4 linked regions of the Coturnix japonica genome follow. The protein of the gene in region 2 binds, or shares a complex with, the protein of the main gene of each other region. Links are inferred from orthologs where the notes say so. Each region holds a gene or a part of one and is shown on either strand. Other genes may lie near its edges. The genes, in order: TRPC5, GNAI3, RGS2 and RGS8.

Region 1 (3,557 bases), on a different chromosome or scaffold from region 2:
ATCTTTAGTCACTGAGACCCATGATATGTAGATTACTTATCAGGAGTCTGTGAAAAGTGTGCTGTGAGCGCATCTGCTGGTAGGTGGCTTCCATTTGATATAAAGCAGTCAGCTTCTCCTCTTGTAAATACACTCAAGGTTTAATTTGTAGGCAAAGAAGTGACAGAGCAACATGCTGGAACTTTAAAATTGTACTGTTTGGGGGCATGTTGAAAATCCAGAAGGCTGTATGGCGGCCTGTTAGATTTCCAAGGGAAAAACTTCCAAGACAGTTGCTTGTCCCTGAAGAAGCAGCTCTGTGACAACATCAAAGCAAAAATAGATCACATCTTTTCTTCCCAGCATTCAGAACCAGTGAGGAAATTAGAGACTTTAAAGGCTGGTCTTTAATCTGTGAGCAATACAGAAAATGTTGAAAATTGTAGCATTCACAAACAAATCCTAAAATGCTAACAATCTCTTTTTATTTCTCTCTCACACACACAAATTACACATCCACAGATTTATATGGTCACACACTGAAATTTAAACTTGCAGCCAAACCAGACACACTGAGGAAACATAGTTTCATTTATATGCTTCCTAAGAACCTCAGGAACAAAGAGCTATACATCAGCACAAAAAAGAATACAAAATGATTACAGGAATGTATCCGTTTAAGTACAGATCAGACCCACTTGAATTAAACCTGGCTATAACCTAAGGTCTGGTCTTGACAAGGACCAAGGTCAAACAATACTGAGAAGTGCTTAAAACATTCTACAGTGGTAGCTCTTACACAGCATGCCCACAGAAGTTCTGACCTATGTCACATAAAGGTTGCAGTATGCTCAGAGACACGAGCATTTAAAACATTGATAATGGCTTCAAAGTCTTCTGCAACATGACCTGTAAAGTTTTTTGTTATTTATAGAACAGCCCGGGGCTGGAAATGGCTGTTACATATACCAATATACCATAGTCTAACATTTCTTGGAACTCCAAAGATTTACATGGACATTTAACTTTCTGCCAAATATAAGAAAAATAAATTGTATACTGACAGTTGTTTTCCATCCTAATTTTTGTGTGGAGACTTTTTTTTCTTTTCCCCTGATTTGACTGGTTTCAAGATCTGGCTGCAATATTATCTAGTAACAATGAAATCTTCAGCCTCATTATAGGGTAAAAATTCTTTCTTAATCAGTTTTCATTTTCTGCATTGAATTATCACGTAATGAGAAAGGGTAAATATGCCAGTCTATTATAACTTATTTGTACTACTCTGTATACTTTGTTTTTCATCTTCTGATGCCTAACCTGAACAGCTCCAGCCTTCTCATTAGATAACTCTGAAATCAGTTTCTCTGCTACCTCCGGTTGCCCATTCAAAAGTGATTGCTGCTTTCCAAGCAAGGATATACCATCAGTTTATAAAGGGCTAAAATACAATCCTAGCAAGTTGCTTTAAAAGTAGATGTGAGATGAAGTCCTTCTCACATTCCTTTACTTACACCCTATCCTCGCAGAGAGCCTCAAGGCTGCTGTGTCCAGCCGGCATGCAGAAGGAAACTGCAAATCTTCCCTCTAGGAAGGGGAGGCTTGCTGGTCACATCTGTCCACTCCCACTGTAGGTTGTTGGCAGAAAAGTTTAAAGTGGCCACCTGTTTGTAAATGTTTTAAGACCCATCTTCAAATCAAGTTAACAAACTCAGGCCATTATGTTCATGGAATAATGAAAGGCTTGGAAATTTCAGAAGCAATCACATCCCATTGAAATTCTGTCATGTCTCAGTGCCTTCATATGGAGGAACAGTTTAAAAACAACTGCTGGTTTTAGTTGTATCCTTGAAAAAAAAACCTTCAGATTCAAATGGGAAGTCCCTATAAGCTCATCTGCCAGTGATATATGGCTGCCATTTCCTTTTTAAAAGTGTAAAAAAGGTTTTTAGAGACCTAGACATTCTGGCTACACTATCAGCAGTACATTTTTGCCTTTTCACGTGTTAAGTCAGCAGAAATAAATGCTATAGAAGACAAAATATTCCTTGATGTTAAAATGTCTTTAACTCCATCCTCTGCTGCCAGAGAAGTCACATTTATACATACCAGCTCTTTTATGTCACCTATTTACATCTGGCTGCACCTGGCTCACATAATGCTTCTGCTTTTACAGTTACATTACAAACCAAGTTAATTTTACAACCGATGCACTCAAGTGTATCCAGCGTTTTGGCTGTAATTATGACCTCTGCCTAAGCAACTTTCCTGGAATTACCATGGCAAGTTAACTAATGAGAAAATTAATGTGAAGAACATTATTTGGTTCTGGGCTGTTGGCACATTTTTGGCGGAGGGAAAGCATCCGCTTCTTATGTTCCTTAATTCATTGCTTGCTTTCTTCCTTCCTTCCTTTCTGTCTCTCTCTCACATTCATCCTGGAATAAGCAGTGTTTCAAGGGTGTGATAGTATTCAGGAAGAAAAATAGTAAGAAGGTCATTGGAAATGACCTATACCTACTAAGGATCAGTCTGAACCCCTTTAAGTGTTATAAGAGAAAGATGTTATATATCAACACAAGGACCTGAATTACCCACAGTTACCCAATTCAAAAGACCTGTTATCAAACTTTAGCTGAGTACAGCCCACATACCAGAAACCCCCAGAGAAAAGCTGATATCCCAAAAATATCTCTAGAGAGCAGTCTAAATCTGTAGGGGGTTTCATAAGAAGACTTCATTAGAAAGCTCTGTCCTGATGAACTCATCTTCAATCATGAATCATGAATGATAGTGGTTGAAAAGTACTTCTTGTGTCACTATCTGGTTGATATATGTAGGTAAAGCATTAGTATTAGCAGGTTTGAGTTTCAAGTTTACCTCAAAATGATTACAACATAATTCACTTTTATACCCTTGTTATTTCTTTCAGTACAACGGTTCTCGTCCAAGGGAGGAATGGGAAATGTGGCACCCGACTCTCATTGCAGAAGCCCTCTTTGCAATATCCAACATTTTAAGTTCTTTGCGTCTCATATCCCTGTTTACAGCAAATTCACACCTGGGACCCCTGCAGATTTCTCTGGGACGCATGCTGCTAGACATCCTTAAATTCCTTTTTATCTACTGTCTGGTGCTTCTGGCTTTTGCCAATGGACTGAACCAGCTTTATTTTTATTATGAGACCAGTGCCTCGGAGGAACCCAACAACTGCAAGGGGATCCGATGTGAGAAACAGAACAATGCCTTCTCCACGTAAGATGTTCTTTCCTGTCTTGATTTTGAGGACAACTCTCACTGTCCTCTGTCTTACCTGCTTTTATATGTTGTGTATCACTGCACCAAAAGTAACTTTATTTTTCATTTGTAAATATCAGGTGAGCTGCTTGACTGTGCAGGAAAGGTGTGAGTTAACTGGGGCAGGCATTCTGCTGAGCTTTGCTGTCAGAAAGCCTCTTAGGTCTGGAAGTGAGAGACAATCATTTTAGTTCTGGTCCAGAGAGTCTCTCTGCATCATCCTGCAACTGAAATGTTATTACTGCTACGTTCAGTTTTGGCATGTGAGAAAATGGGTATCC
Region 2 (4,122 bases):
AGGGCTGCCCCATGGTGGCTGTGGGGAGGACTCACAGCAGGTCAGGGCAGCCCACAGCCTCCTCCTGCTGCCCACCACCACATCCAGGTTCGCTGGATACAATAAAAGCCGCTGCACCCCACACTGCCTGCAGCCCTTCTGCAGCCTCCTCCACCACCAGGCTTCCTCTGTACGCTGAGGTTGCAACACTGCTTCCCCACCTCGCACCCTCATGTTTACAGAGCCAGCTACTTCCCATGCTCTGACGCCATCTGGTAAACACAAGCTTGCAAGAAGGGTGGATTCGGTTCACTTGTTTTCTTTTCTTTACGCCCTGAAATGAGGCTCTGGGAACAGAGCACTGACTGAAAGCCCACAGCACGACTTGTGTCTGCCCTGCTGCTGCTCTGAGCCTCCCCAGCTCCTGGCTCAGTAGCTGTGGGGATCCACGGCTCCGTCCCCATTGGCATCACCCCATCCATCTCACTGCAGCACTGCTCTGCAGCGTGTGCTTCCAACCCTGAGACCTCAGCCCTGCAGGGGAGCAGGAGATAAAGCACCCTTAGGAGTACCATGTACCCACAGCATCACCCACACTATCACCACAGGAAGGGCTGCAGTGTGTCAGTGAGGAAGCTGAGGCTGTAACAGCAGAGATGAAGCGCTCAGGGCTGCGTGCTGGGCAGCAGCTCAGCTGACTGCTCGCTCTGTGCATTAGCAAGGCCGGGTGCTGCAGCAGCAGCCAGCTCCTCACTGCACTCTGCAGCATTTCCTAACAGCCCTGTCTTTCTATTCAATCTGTTCTCTCATTTTCAGCTCTTTCCTCTCCCTTTGAACCTGAAGCTGCTTTCCTGCAAGCATCTCAGAAACGCTCCCCCTGCCAGCTCACCTCCCTTGATCTAAACTCAACATCCTCTGCTGAGCTGTTACAGTTTCAGAAGCGCTCTTGCTTATTGTCGAGCTGCATTGTGCTCTGTGCAGACAGAGCCTGCAGGGAGCCGAGCTGTGACTCATCTCAAGGTTCTTATAAAGCATTTCCAAACTCATTTCTCAGAGGCTTCAAACTTGGCCAGACCACGCAGAGCCACCAGGAAGCACAACCGACCCCACAGCCACCCTTCCTCCTGGGTTTACAAAGCAATGAACACGCAGCTTTCCCCACACAGAAGCAACAGCTGTTTGATAGGGACAGGAACCAAAGGAGCAGCTGCCCTCCTCACATTGGTTATCACAGCACTCACAGCCAAGCAGAGGGCAGCTCCTGCCTGCCCACCCCACCACCAGAAGGGCCCAAGGGGTCTCTTACTACGAGGCAGAGTCGTTCAGCTGGTACTCCCTGGATCTGCTGAAGCAGGCCTGCACTCCAGCATCCCTCCACAGCCTCTTGATCACTCCAGCCAGCTCGGCCGTCATCACCCCTTCCTCTGCACTTCCAGCCAACACAAACAGCTGGCGGGCATCGTCCTGCAGGGACAGGAGGGGGGGTTAAGAAAGGAAATCAAGTTTACAAGCTTAAGGATCACTGCAATAGCTGAGAGGTGAGGGAGCCTCATTTCCTAATGGAGCATTTCATCACGAGGCAGCACATAGAGGGATCAGGATGCTGCTGTGAGCCTCAGTGTGACAGCCCACACCTCCATAGGCTCGCAAGCAATGTGTAGATATGGCAAACAGAGCACAGGGACCAGCCAAAGCTGCTCAATGCTCTGCTTCTATAACACGAGGTGGCTCAGGGACACCTCAGGTTTGTGGTTAATGTTGAGCACTTACATTGCAGACAATGAGGGGTCTCCTGTCAATGCAGACACAGCCCCAATCTCCAGCTCTCATTAACACCATTCAAAGCACAAACACAGAGGGAGATCAATGAAGTACTTACAGCTCTGGCCACCTCTCCAAAGTCAATCTTTAGCCTTCCCATGGCTCTTATGATAGCAATGATGGACTGGATCGTATTGCTGTACACCACCACTTTATACTGCTTGCATTCCTCCTCCGAGTAACCATCCTCATGGATAATCCTAAAGAAAACCGAGCTGTCATTGCTAAACCAAACCAGACCGGCAGCTCAGCGGCACTTCAACCCCTTCACTTACTTCATCTGCTTCACTATGGTGCTCTTCCCAGACTCCCCAGCACCTAAAAAGGATAAATACAGAAGGAAGACCATCACGATTGAGTCAGCAGGAGGCCTGGCTTGCTTTAAAACACCCCCCACAGGGCAGCACTCCCATGGTGGCCACACCGCACCATACGGTGCGGTGCGGCCACCGTGGGAGCGCTGCCCTGGGGGTTCTGATAGGCCCAAAGCCCACAGGCCCATTGGTTCCAATAGGCCCAAAGCCCACAGGCCCATTGGTTCCAATAGGCCCAAACCCCACAGGCCCATTGGTTCCGATAGGCCCAATGCACTTAGACAGATCCCAAGCGCATCCCCACCCCCGCGGCCTACTAGGCCCAGCCCAGCCCCTGCGGCCTACTAGGCCCAATCCAAAGCCTGCGGCCTACTAGGCCCAAATCAGAGCCTGCGGCCTACTAGGCCCAATCTAAAGCCTGCGGCCTACTAGGCCCAGTTCAGCCCCGCGGCCTACTAGGCCCGGTTTAGGCCTCTCACCCAGCAGTAGTAGTTTCACCTCCTTGGCCGCCTTCTCGCCGTCTTCCCGTAGGTTCCGATCGATCATTTTACTCCTTTCTACCGCCGCTTTATCCTCGGCGCTTAATGTACAGCCCATAACGGCGGCTGGGCGGAGGCCGCCGGGCCTTCAAATGGAACGGAACGAAAAGGGACGGAGCGGAACCGAACCGCGCCTCTCCCTCAGCCGGGGCGGCTCCCACAGGCGGAACCGGATATCCGCCCAGAGCGACCGTTAGCCGCAAAGCACGCCGGGAAGCACCGTCCGACAGGGCATTTCCGCCTCGGTAAAGTGGTGCATGATGGGAGCTGAGAGGGCGGAACTTCCGGTGTTGTGTGGATGTATTATGGGAGTTGTAGTCTTGAGATGATTGCGGGGCCTACACAGCCCCCAACCCAACACATAGCCCCCCAACCCAATGCTGAGCCTCCAACCCAATGCTGAGCCCCCCAACCCAATTCTGAGCCCCCAACCCAATGCTGAGCCCCCAACCCAGTGCTGAGCCCCCAAACCGATGCTGAGCCCCCCAACCCAATGCTGTTCCCCTATCCCAATGCTGTGACCCTAACCTGATGCTGAGCCCCCAACCCACTGCTAAGCCCCCAACCCAATGCTGTGACCCCAACTCGATGCTGAGCCCCCCAACCCAATGCTGTGCCCGCAACCCAATGCTGTGCCCCCAACCCAATGCTGAGCCCCCCAACTCAATGCTGTGCCCCCAACCCAATGCTGTGCCCCCCAACCCAATGCTGAGCCCTCAACCCACTGCTAAGCCCCCAACCCGATGCTGAGCCCCCAACCCCACCGTGGAGCCCACACATTGGGTCCCCCACCCCTCCACCCCCTCCCCACGTCCCGCCCCACATCCACACACCCACACCACTCTTCCCTTCCATCCTTGTTTAACACCCGCAGCCGCACACGCTACAGCCCCGCTCTGCTCACGGTGCCCCCCCCGTCCGCTCCGTCCCTTCGGCCGCTTCATCCCCGATCTGTCCCGGGATGCGAAAATCGACGGGCGCCGGTTCCCGTTTGGGGCTGGGGGTGCCCAGAGGCGGCGGGGGCAGCTCTTGGGGGCAGCCGGTGCCCTGTAGGAACTGCAGGAAGTTCTCCTCGATGGAGCCCTCCCGGCTGGGCAGACGCAGGTCCTCCTCGGGGGGCTGCTTGAAGAAGCAGGTGAGGAGCCGGCCCAGCTCACCGCGGATCTGCCGGTTGAGGCACCCGTAGAAGAACGGGTTGGAGGTAAAGCAGAAATAACCCAGCCAAGTGACCACGGTCTCGGCCGCCGGCCCCGCTAAGGGTTGTGCACTGAGCGCCGTGTAGAGGTGGAAGGAGAAATAGGGCAGCCAACAGAATAGGAACTGGCCGCCCACAGCCAGCAAGATGGCGGCCGCTTTGCCCCCTCCAAACGTCCTTTGCGGGGTGGTGCGGGGCGCCCCCGAGCTGGTCACCATGGTGGAACGGCTGCTGAGCGACTCGGAGCGGCGCCGGGGGGTCTCCATCCAGGTGG
Region 3 (4,266 bases), on a different chromosome or scaffold from region 2:
TGGGAACATTAAAAATACCATCAGCAAGAGGCAGCGTGAGATGCAGCATGGATGCTGCATCCCTCACTTTGCCTGTGGCTCCTCTGCCATCCCAAAAGCAGACTGGTGCAACCTGCCTAGTTCACGTGATGCCAGCAGCAGCGCTGATGACGTTGTTTGATGTCAGACACATTCCCCTTCTATTTAACTCATACACAGAAAACATCTTCTGTCACACAAATGTTTTAACTGCTGTCCCAGCAAAGGTCAGGGTCACTACCAGAAAGCACGCAGCACAGCATGATGCAGCAAGAAACTATTCCATGTAGTTTCTTCTTCACTGCAAAAAACCAACACAGAACCAACAAAACATGCTAATAGCCTCACTTTAGGAGCGTAATGAAAATGTAAACTTCAAATACATATTAATGCAGATGATCAAAGTTGATCTAAGTATCTTTTTAAAACCAGATGTTATAGCAAGTACATCTTATCAGGCCATCTAACCTTACAATTCCATGTTCATAGGGTTGAAAAGGACCACAATGCTCATCTAGCTTCAAACCTCCTGCTATGTGCAGGGTCACCAACCACCAGACCAGGCTGCTCAGAGCACGTCCAGCCTGGCCTTGAATGCCTCCAGTGTTTTATTTTAACCTGAAATGCTATTTTCCCCTCTCACTGTTTAAAGACATAACAAAAGCTGTCTTAGAATCATTAAGGTTGGAAAGACCTCTCCAAGCCCAACTCCAGCCCATCCGCACTGACCATGCCTCTCAGTGCCATATCCTCCTCCTTTCTGGAACACCTCCAGGGACGATGACACCCCCCTATCTCCCAGCACAGCCTGTGCCACTCTATCACCACAAACTATTCCTAATACCTAACCTGGTCCTCCCCGGGAGCAACGTGAGACTATTCCTTCTCATCCTCACACAGGCTTTTCCTTAGCAAGCTCCCACCTGGGCAGCTCCTGCACGCAACAGGCAGCAGTACTGCATCCTTCTTTAAATGCTTTCAAATATTAAATAGAGGCCGTTTTTACCTAAGGCAAGATGCTCTGGCACAAGGCTGTGGGGGGGGGATGCTTTTTCGAGCCTAAGGTGTTGTGACGCGTGCGGCCGGTAGGGGGCAAAACGACGTGCTCAAATTTATCGCCGCTTTGGTTTTATCTTTTTTTCTTTTTTGAATAAAGGGGCCTTTATTCCTCCTTCCTCCTTTTCTTCTCTGCTCAGAAGCCTGTGCTGACTTTACGGACCCAAATCTGCAAATCGAAGAGGAAGAGAAGTAGAGTTGGAAAAGCAGCTTAAAGAGGAGAGAGAAAGAAAAGAGCGGAGAGAAAAGTAGCTCTGGGAGGGGTGGGAGGGGAAAGGGGGGGGGAAAAAAAAGAGAATAAATCAATATCGGAGCGCCCGGCCATACGGGGCGGGGCGTGGGGCGGAGCACGGGTGCTATATGGGGCGCTGCTGCAGCCGGGCAGCGGTGTAGGGCGATGCAGAGCGCCGTGTTCGTTGCTTTGCCGCAGGACGGCGGGCGGATGGAGCGGGGCAGCCGACGACGAGCTGAGCTGGAGGAGACGGACAAGGGCAGGATGATGAAGCGCACCATGTGAGTGGCACCGCCGGCTCGGCCGAAGGGAAAGGTTTCTCTCTTCTGCTCGCAGCCTGAAGGCGGCTCTGGGTACTGGGGTGAGGTTGGTGGTTGACGGCTTCGTTGTAAATGAGCGTCTTTTGTTTTTCCAGCATTAAAGACTGGAAGAAGAAGCTGAGCTACTTCCTGCAGAACTCTTCCCGTTCTGGCAAAATGAAGTCCAACAAAGCGAGCAAACACCACACCTATTTCAGGTGAGTTCCAGCCTTAGATAACTCGAGTGCTGCACAAAAGAAGCAGCAGATCTCGAGCTGCGGTCTCACTTTCTCTGCTCTTCTCTCTGCCTCACACAGACCTTCCCCCGAGGAAGCCCGGCTGTGGTCAGAAGCCTTCGATGAACTGCTGGCTAACAAATGTAAGTTGGTCTTCAGGCTGTAACTGTTAAGAACGAAGCAGGGGAGAAGCTGATATAGGAGATGGCTTCCCTGCATGTCAGTACTGCACGGAGCTCTTAAAGTAATATTAAAGCAGAGCTCCCCACTCTGAAGCATTGTAGCTGTAGGCTCTGTAGTTCAACTTTACCTATTCAGCCTGGCTTTGCCATAAGTGCAAAGCACTGTGCTCTCTTATCCAAATCAGATTCATTCTTATAATTCAGTAAGGATTCTGCAGCACAGAAGTCCACTGATTTCATTTTCTTGTGGGGCAGATTTTTGCTGGGGAAAAAAAAAAAAAAAAAGCACTCAACAGCACAGCAGTAACAACTAAGAGCTGATACGGCAATTTGTTCTTTGAACTTCTGAGTCATCCTTTCCATTGCAAAAGCGTTCCAGGGGTTTGTTGTGCTGTCAGAAGTATTTGCTCCAGCATAAAGGTTAATGAGGATGATCCCATCTAGAGCTTTTCTTCTTAACGTAGCTCATCTGCAGGTATCATAAGGGTACACACTGACTAGAAACAGCTTTTGGTTTTGCACTTACATTAATTTGGCTGACTTGAAGCCTGCCAAGCTGTTAGGGTGTTAATTTGCCTGCAATGTGGATTTCTTATTACCATAACATTGCAGAAAAGACCAGAACTACAGCAAAATATTTTGCTAGGAGCAGATGTGACAAATTGGCAAATATAAGATGCCTGGAATACTTAATTGATGTGGTTTTGCCTCCCTCCCCCCTTCCTTTCCCTAGATGGTGTTGCTGCTTTCCGAGCTTTTCTGAAGTCTGAGTTCTGCGAAGAGAACATCGAGTTCTGGCTGGCATGTGAGGACTTCAAGAAAACCAAATCCCCCCAGAAGCTGACACTGAAGGCAAAGAAAATCTACAATGACTTCATTGAAAAGGAGGCTCCCAAGGAGGTAAGGAAAGCACACAAGCATTGCCCTGTTTCGTGTCTTTAGCCCCACTCTATTCCTCTGAGCTTGTAAGATGCAGATGCCACAAATGCATTGGACACAACTTTTCCCTGACTGCCTTCTTTCATCAAGGTGGAAAATGGTACAAGCTGTACTTCAGATTCCACCTTAGCATGAATGGGGAGGGGGGGAGGAAAAACCAGCCTTGTCAAACACCTGTAATACTTGGGTTTGGCACCAGAAAACAGCATACCTGGATTACTCCAAGTTTTCATAGTAAAGAAATAATTTAAAAGAAACTACATCAATTTATCCCTGAAACAAAAGGACTCCTGACCTCTTCAAAAGTGTTGTGCTTGTTGGGATTCAGTTCTCAGAAAGTAAGCATCTGTTTTTTTGTATTTCAGATAAACATTGACTTCCAGACCAAGAACATGATAGCACAGAACCTCCAGGAAGCCACACACACCTGCTTCAGTGCAGCACAGAAGAGAGTTTACAGCCTCATGGAGAACAACTCATACCCACGGTTTCTGGAATCGGAGTTCTATCAGGAGCTGTGCAAGAAGCCTCCCATCACCAGAGCTGCCCAGGGAACATGAGTGCAGAGTGAGGAAACACCTCTCAGCTACCAAGGAACTGAGCTGGCTTGGCAGCATCCTGACCTGAGAGACTGAGATGGGAGCACTCAGTCAGTTTGCCTCAGCATAAGGACTGATATTGACTTTGGTGCAAAGCTGTTGGCAAAGGACATTGTTGGAAGGCGTTTGTGGCTGGCAGCAGTGCACCAGGCTGGTGATGTCCTTTTTGGAGTGCTGCAGTAAAGGAGCCTGCACGCATCTAACTGAGCTGTGCCTTGTGACACGCTCCTTGTCATAGCTGTGGTGTTATACAGCAGGTCAGCACAGAGCTGCCCTTCTGCAAGCAGAAGCATAAGTCTGTGCAGTTGAGCAGTGCTGGGAACTTGAGTCATGTATAGATTCTGGTGGCTTTTTTTTTTTTCCCCCTGCACATCAACCAGTACTGCTGTCATCAGTTCCTGGGTGTTGTAACACCATCTGTTTAAGCTGACATGAGCTGCAAAGAGATGTACTGAGGTTTGTGTGTGGTTTGCAGGCACCAGTTCTACCCTCACTGCTGTGCAAGGAGGGGACAGCCAGTTCTGCTCTAGGAGGAATGAGCTGTGCAGCACAGCCTGCAGGGCTGGGCATGGCAGCAGGGCTGCGTGAAGCTGGGCAGAGGGCAAAGCCCAGCTACAGTGAACAGGAGCTATACAGTATTATATTTATATACAGATTATGATTGTGTTGAACGCTGCAATATGTCATAATTTTGTTTGAGACAGC
Region 4 (4,195 bases), on a different chromosome or scaffold from region 2:
GTGTTAAATTTGGCCTGGGTTCGGGGAAGGGCTGAAGCGGATTGTTATTTAACTGGAACAGACCAGAGGCATCAGATGAACCTCAACCTTTAACCTTGGCTGAGAGGAGGTTGTATCAACCACTGCATTTTTTTTTGTTAGGGTATTTTCAGCACTTGTTTCCTCATCACCGGAGATGCGATGAATCCAAGTCAGGATGACCTGGGCTTTGCAAGGGGGAGGATGACAGCAGGGGAGAGTTATTTCCTTGCCAAGATGAGCTGTGAAGGAGGGAATCCAGGCTGGAGCAATGGGATCATGCCTGCAGAGCTGCTAATCCCTGTGTTTTTATAGTAAGTTCTATGGGATGCTCCCTCCCCAGGGGTGTTGCCTGGTGATGATGTGCTGTCTCAAGCTGTGCTTCTTGCTAAGAGCATGAGGATGTCAGCCCAGGGTTTTGTTAGCCAAGGAGAGGTGATGAGGGAAAAATAGCAACTGGTTTATCTGCTTGGGATTGGGGTTTTGTGGTGTACAGTATTTTTTCTGATGCCTCAAGCGGTGACAAGCTCCATCAAGAGCTCTCATGGCTGTAGAATCACAGAATGATTTGAGTTGGAAGGGATACTTAAAAGCCATCTGGTCCAACCCCCTGTATTCAGCAGGGATGCTTATAGCTATATCAGGTGCTCAGAGCCCACTCAGCCTGACCTTGGTTGTCTGCAGGGATGGGGCACCCACTGTCACTCTGAGCAACACGTTCCCCATCAAAATGGGGAGATCTCATGGCTTGGGCCCTTGGTGAGCACCTCTATTGGCATCCAGGGGCTGTGCTTCTGGTGGCTGAGCCAAGCCCAGGTCTGAGGTCTCACTGCTGGGGTCCTGCTACTGGGGTGCAGGGATAGATTACAGTAGAAGCCTCACCAGGAGTGAACCCCAGATACACGCTGTTGGCTGAAGGTGGAGGGGTGGGTGCAGGAAGAGGGGTGGGAGGCAAACCAAGGTTGGTTCCAGGGGAGGGGGGGCACATAGCAAAGAAGTGCAGGGGCTGGTTGCAACCTGAGCTGCCAGGTGGGTTGGTTTCTTCCCTTTCCCATGCTGTACAATAAGGTTAACGATTTCCCTTGCCCCCACTGAAGCCGAGGCTCTCTAATTAAGCTCCCCACTCCCTTCTGTCTATGCGACTGCCGACGATCCGAGGGCAGCATCCTCCCCTAAGCCTCAGAGAGGCTGATCAAAGCGATGCGGGAGGGACTCTCCCTCCCAAAGAGGGGAGGGTGACAGCAGCGACAGCTCTGGCAGACATCCCCCACCCCACCGGCTTTTGGCATCTGTAGCGGGGCGGGGGGACGCTCCCAGCAGGTGAGCGGGCGAGGAGGGATGCGGAGGGACGAGCGGGTCAGGTGGGCACCGCTGCATCGCCGCCCATCGCGGTGCAGCCGCCGCGTTGCGGAGCGCCGGGTGAGGCTGTGCGGGGCTGAGACGCGGGGCTCCGGGTGGGGTGTGGGGAAAGAAGAGGGATCGGAGGGCAGTGCGAGGGGCTGGGTCTGAAGGGAGCTCTCTGCTGTGTCCCCAGAGCCTCCCCGAGCACACGCGGAGGACAGGTCAACCAACGGCGGTGAGTATCGCTCAGTCCGCAGTGCCTCCTCGCTCGGTTTATCTGCTCTGCGGGTGTTTTATCTCCTGAAGCCCACCTACCCCCCCACCCCGGGTCTGGTGTTTGTTTGGTTTGTTTTCCTCTTCCCCTTTGTGCTGCTGATTGGGATGGCTCCCTTATCTTTGCTCAGGTGATCTCCTGGGATGGAGGGGGGTCGATAATCCCGATGTCATGGTTGCTCCCCCTCCCTTTGTCTCCCAAGGAGAAACCCCAAAACACATCCATGGTGAGAGTGGCAGTTCTCCTGGATGGGGCCCTGCCTTAGGGGGGGGCGGTGGAAGAGTACAAGGGATGGAGGGTGAAGCAATAATCCTCGCTGCAGACTCTTACTGGGATGCCTTCACCACATTCTATTTCTAAGGGCATCGACTGGCTTTGCTGGCAAGTCAAGGGCATACCGTACCCACAGATGCTCCAGCCCAGCTGTGGGACTCGATGTCCCAAAGACAGACAGACTTTGGGACCTTGGGGAAGTTGGGTGCCGTTCTGTTGTGCAGGTTGTGTGGGTGGGAGCGGGGGTGAGCATTGAGCTGTTTCATAACAGCACCTCCAAAAGCATGTAGCAAGGGGAGACTGCAAGAGAGGGCACCATGTGGGCACCCATCCCAGCTGTCAGAGAGAGAAGGGGCTGCTGGGCTCTGGGAAATCCTCTGCTTGGCCCCACATGTGGGTGAAACTGTTAATGAGGAAATTTTGAAGGGGCTTAAGGAATTACAAGGATTGATTTCAGTTAAAGCACATCGAAGCAGCCGGTCAGGGCAGGGATTAAGAAAATGCACTCACTGGCATATAGTGCAATCCCAGTTCCATTAATTTAGTTGGGAAGAGGCTTTGTGTGTTTTTAATGTAATCAGGTTTTAAAAGGGATGCTGCATTGGGCAGCACAAGCTTTGGGATCTCCCCTGGCCCGGGCAGAGCGAGCTCCTGGCTCCTTGTACGCAGCTGCTGTTCCCATCAGCTCCTCACTCTCCTCCTCTGCCATCCCCCCTGGGCTGGGAGACCTGGAGGTTATCTGGAGCTCAACCTTGTCCTGGCAAACAGGAAACCTTTGCACTTTGCTTGCTACGCAAGCAGCTCTGTCCTGCTCTGTCCTACCAGCTTAGTGGATACTGCCTTCACTGCCTGCAGGGAGATCCGTCCCAGCAGAATCTCATACCCATGCTCAGGGAACCCTGCCACCCCCTCAGTCCATTCATTCAGCTTCCACCACCCAGACAAGGAGATGCTTTCATTGAGTTCATCTGTATGAGTGCTTGAGCCCTGCAATGGTGGAAGGAGTGATCCACAGGTGCATGAAGTCCTCCTGTTCTTCTGTTTGCAGCACAACGATGGCCAGTAACGCCAGCTGTGACCCGCAGGCACATGGAAAAGAGGTAGTTGGATCCTCTTAGTGAGGTCAGCCCGGAGCTCTGCCTGTTGAGGACCGACCTTTGGAGGCAACACATGATGAATGTGGCTGTGCCGAGCCCTGCTGCTCCATGCTGAGCCGTGACGCCAAGCACAGACCTGCAGCTGGACTTACCCCATGGCTCTGCTCCCAGGAGGAAATGCTGTCTCTTCTTTGTGATCATCCTTCAGCTCCGAGAGTCTTCCATTGGAAAACTGACGAGGATCAAATGGGTTGAGAGCAACGGGCCCTCCTTTTCTGGCAGAGGATTCTTTGTTATATTTTGAAGTGCCAGGACATCAAACTGTAAATCCCTCCTTCCCACACTCCTAATCTCCTGCAAACCACTCTCCAAGCCAACCAGACAGAGGATTGGCCGTAACTGGAGTCCTGAATGGCTGCATTACTGATCCCACGGAGGTAACTGCACAGACACCTCACCCCTTGTTGCTGTCTGCCTCATCCTGTGAGCCTCATGGCTCCCTCCTGCCCTTCCCCTGCCTCCCCACACCTCCTACCAATCCAGGTTCTTTTCCCTGTGTCCTGTCCTGGTGTCACAACCCGTGTTCCCCAAGCTGAGCTCCGTGCTCACAGTGCAGCATCGCAGCCTCCTTGCTGCCATTCCCTGCTGCAGTCCCATCATCTCAGGCACTGGAGAAATCCCAGCAGCACTGCATACCACACCTCTTGCTGAGAAAGCTGTGAGCTTTATCAGGGCATGGCCAAGGTGGATGAGCGCTGGGGACAGGAGGCATATGGGAAAGGTACCAGTGCGATCCTATAGCCACTCAGTGTCAGTCTGAGCGCAGCAGGCTCAGCTGGAGATGCAGTGCTGTGCACACAGTGTCTGCTTTGCTGTGGATGTAGGGCAACATCCTGAGACTGCAGTCCACAGGTTTGTGTTTTGGAGCTATTCTTGCCACTGAAGATCCCCAGGTTTTGTGCTGGGAGCTGCCTGAGCTCTGCCAGGGAGACACTCGTTGCATTTAATTAACATTTAATTTGCTGTAAGATTACATGAAAATGTGCAATAATAGAAACTCTCTGCAGGGCGGGAGGAGAAGAGGGGGACAGGCGTGCTACAGATTAGCTCAGTGCTGAAGTGTTCTGCATAGGGAAGGGAGAAAATGCTGTGCTTCCCTCTGCAGTCTCAGGGAGCGTTTGGCATCTGCTTG

The links.
Region 1: the proteins of GNAI3 (region 2) and TRPC5 are in contact, whole or in part, in a cryo-EM structure (PDB 8GVX), measured with the Homo sapiens proteins. The link is inferred for Coturnix japonica from reciprocal best matches to the Homo sapiens genes GNAI3 and TRPC5. Residues at the interface, in NP_006487.1 of Homo sapiens: Arg205, Arg208, Lys209, Trp211, Ile212, His213, Phe215, Glu216, Glu245, Leu249, Ser252, Asn256, Lys257, Trp258, Arg312; in NP_036603.1 of Homo sapiens: Thr27, Glu32, Glu33, Glu56, Ile57, Tyr58, Tyr59, Asn60, Lys125, Pro128, Thr129, Leu130, Met131.
Region 3: the proteins of GNAI3 (region 2) and RGS2 are in contact, whole or in part, in a crystal structure (PDB 2V4Z), measured with the Homo sapiens proteins. The link is inferred for Coturnix japonica from reciprocal best matches to the Homo sapiens genes GNAI3 and RGS2. Residues at the interface, in NP_006487.1 of Homo sapiens: Val179, Lys180, Thr181, Thr182, Gly183, Ile184, Val185, Gln204, Ser206, Glu207, Lys209, Lys210, His213, Ala235, Glu236, Asp237, Glu238; in NP_002914.1 of Homo sapiens: Glu104, Phe105, Glu108, Asn109, Glu143, Ala144, Pro145, Glu147, Ile148, Asn149, Asp151, Phe152, Leu180, Asn183, Ser185, Arg188.
Region 4: the proteins of GNAI3 (region 2) and RGS8 are in contact, whole or in part, in a crystal structure (PDB 2ODE), measured with the Homo sapiens proteins. The link is inferred for Coturnix japonica from reciprocal best matches to the Homo sapiens genes GNAI3 and RGS8. Residues at the interface, in NP_006487.1 of Homo sapiens: Glu65, Gln68, Ser75, Val179, Lys180, Thr181, Thr182, Gly183, Ile184, Val185, Gln204, Ser206, Glu207, Lys209, Lys210, His213, Ala235, Glu236, Asp237, Glu238; in NP_001095920.1 of Homo sapiens: Thr76, Glu77, Phe78, Ser79, Glu81, Asn82, Ala117, Pro118, Glu120, Val121, Asn122, Ile123, Asp124, Phe125, Gln126, Arg128, Leu153, Lys156, Asp157, Ser158, Arg161, Arg164.

Annotation. Positions count from the first base shown.
Region 1 is NC_029519.1:12,390,700-12,394,256, forward strand, and holds part of TRPC5 (short transient receptor potential channel 5), read left to right. Parts: intron 1-2,911; coding exon 2,912-3,234; intron 3,235-3,557. UniProt on the Homo sapiens protein: Forms a receptor-activated non-selective calcium permeant cation channel. Mediates calcium-dependent phosphatidylserine externalization and apoptosis in neurons via its association with PLSCR1.
Region 2 is NC_029541.1:1,611,436-1,615,557, reverse strand, and holds the start of GNAI3 (guanine nucleotide-binding protein G(i) subunit alpha), read right to left. Parts: upstream 2,848-4,122; 5' UTR 2,712-2,847; coding exon 2,594-2,711; intron 2,119-2,593; coding exon 2,076-2,118; intron 2,001-2,075; coding exon 1,859-2,000; intron 1,444-1,858; coding exon 1,286-1,443; intron 1-1,285. Other genes in the region: GPR61 (G-protein coupled receptor 61), read right to left, coding at 3,554-4,122. UniProt on the Homo sapiens protein: Heterotrimeric guanine nucleotide-binding proteins (G proteins) function as transducers downstream of G protein-coupled receptors (GPCRs) in numerous signaling cascades.
Region 3 is NC_029523.1:3,458,960-3,463,225, reverse strand, and holds the start of RGS2 (regulator of G-protein signaling 2), read left to right. Parts: upstream 1-1,437; 5' UTR 1,438-1,471; coding exon 1,472-1,587; intron 1,588-1,721; coding exon 1,722-1,823; intron 1,824-1,922; coding exon 1,923-1,984; intron 1,985-2,756; coding exon 2,757-2,923; intron 2,924-3,327; coding exon 3,328-3,522; 3' UTR 3,523-4,266. UniProt on the Homo sapiens protein: Regulates G protein-coupled receptor signaling cascades. Inhibits signal transduction by increasing the GTPase activity of G protein alpha subunits, thereby driving them into their inactive GDP-bound form.
Region 4 is NC_029523.1:6,095,512-6,099,706, reverse strand, and holds the start of RGS8 (regulator of G-protein signaling 8), read left to right. Parts: upstream 1-1,356; coding exon 1,357-1,437; intron 1,438-1,447; exon of another isoform or gene 1,448-1,552; coding exon 1,553-1,585; exon of another isoform or gene 1,586-1,594; intron 1,595-2,954; exon of another isoform or gene 2,955-3,414; coding exon of another isoform or gene 3,415-3,440; intron 3,441-4,195. UniProt on the Homo sapiens protein: Regulates G protein-coupled receptor signaling cascades, including signaling via muscarinic acetylcholine receptor CHRM2 and dopamine receptor DRD2.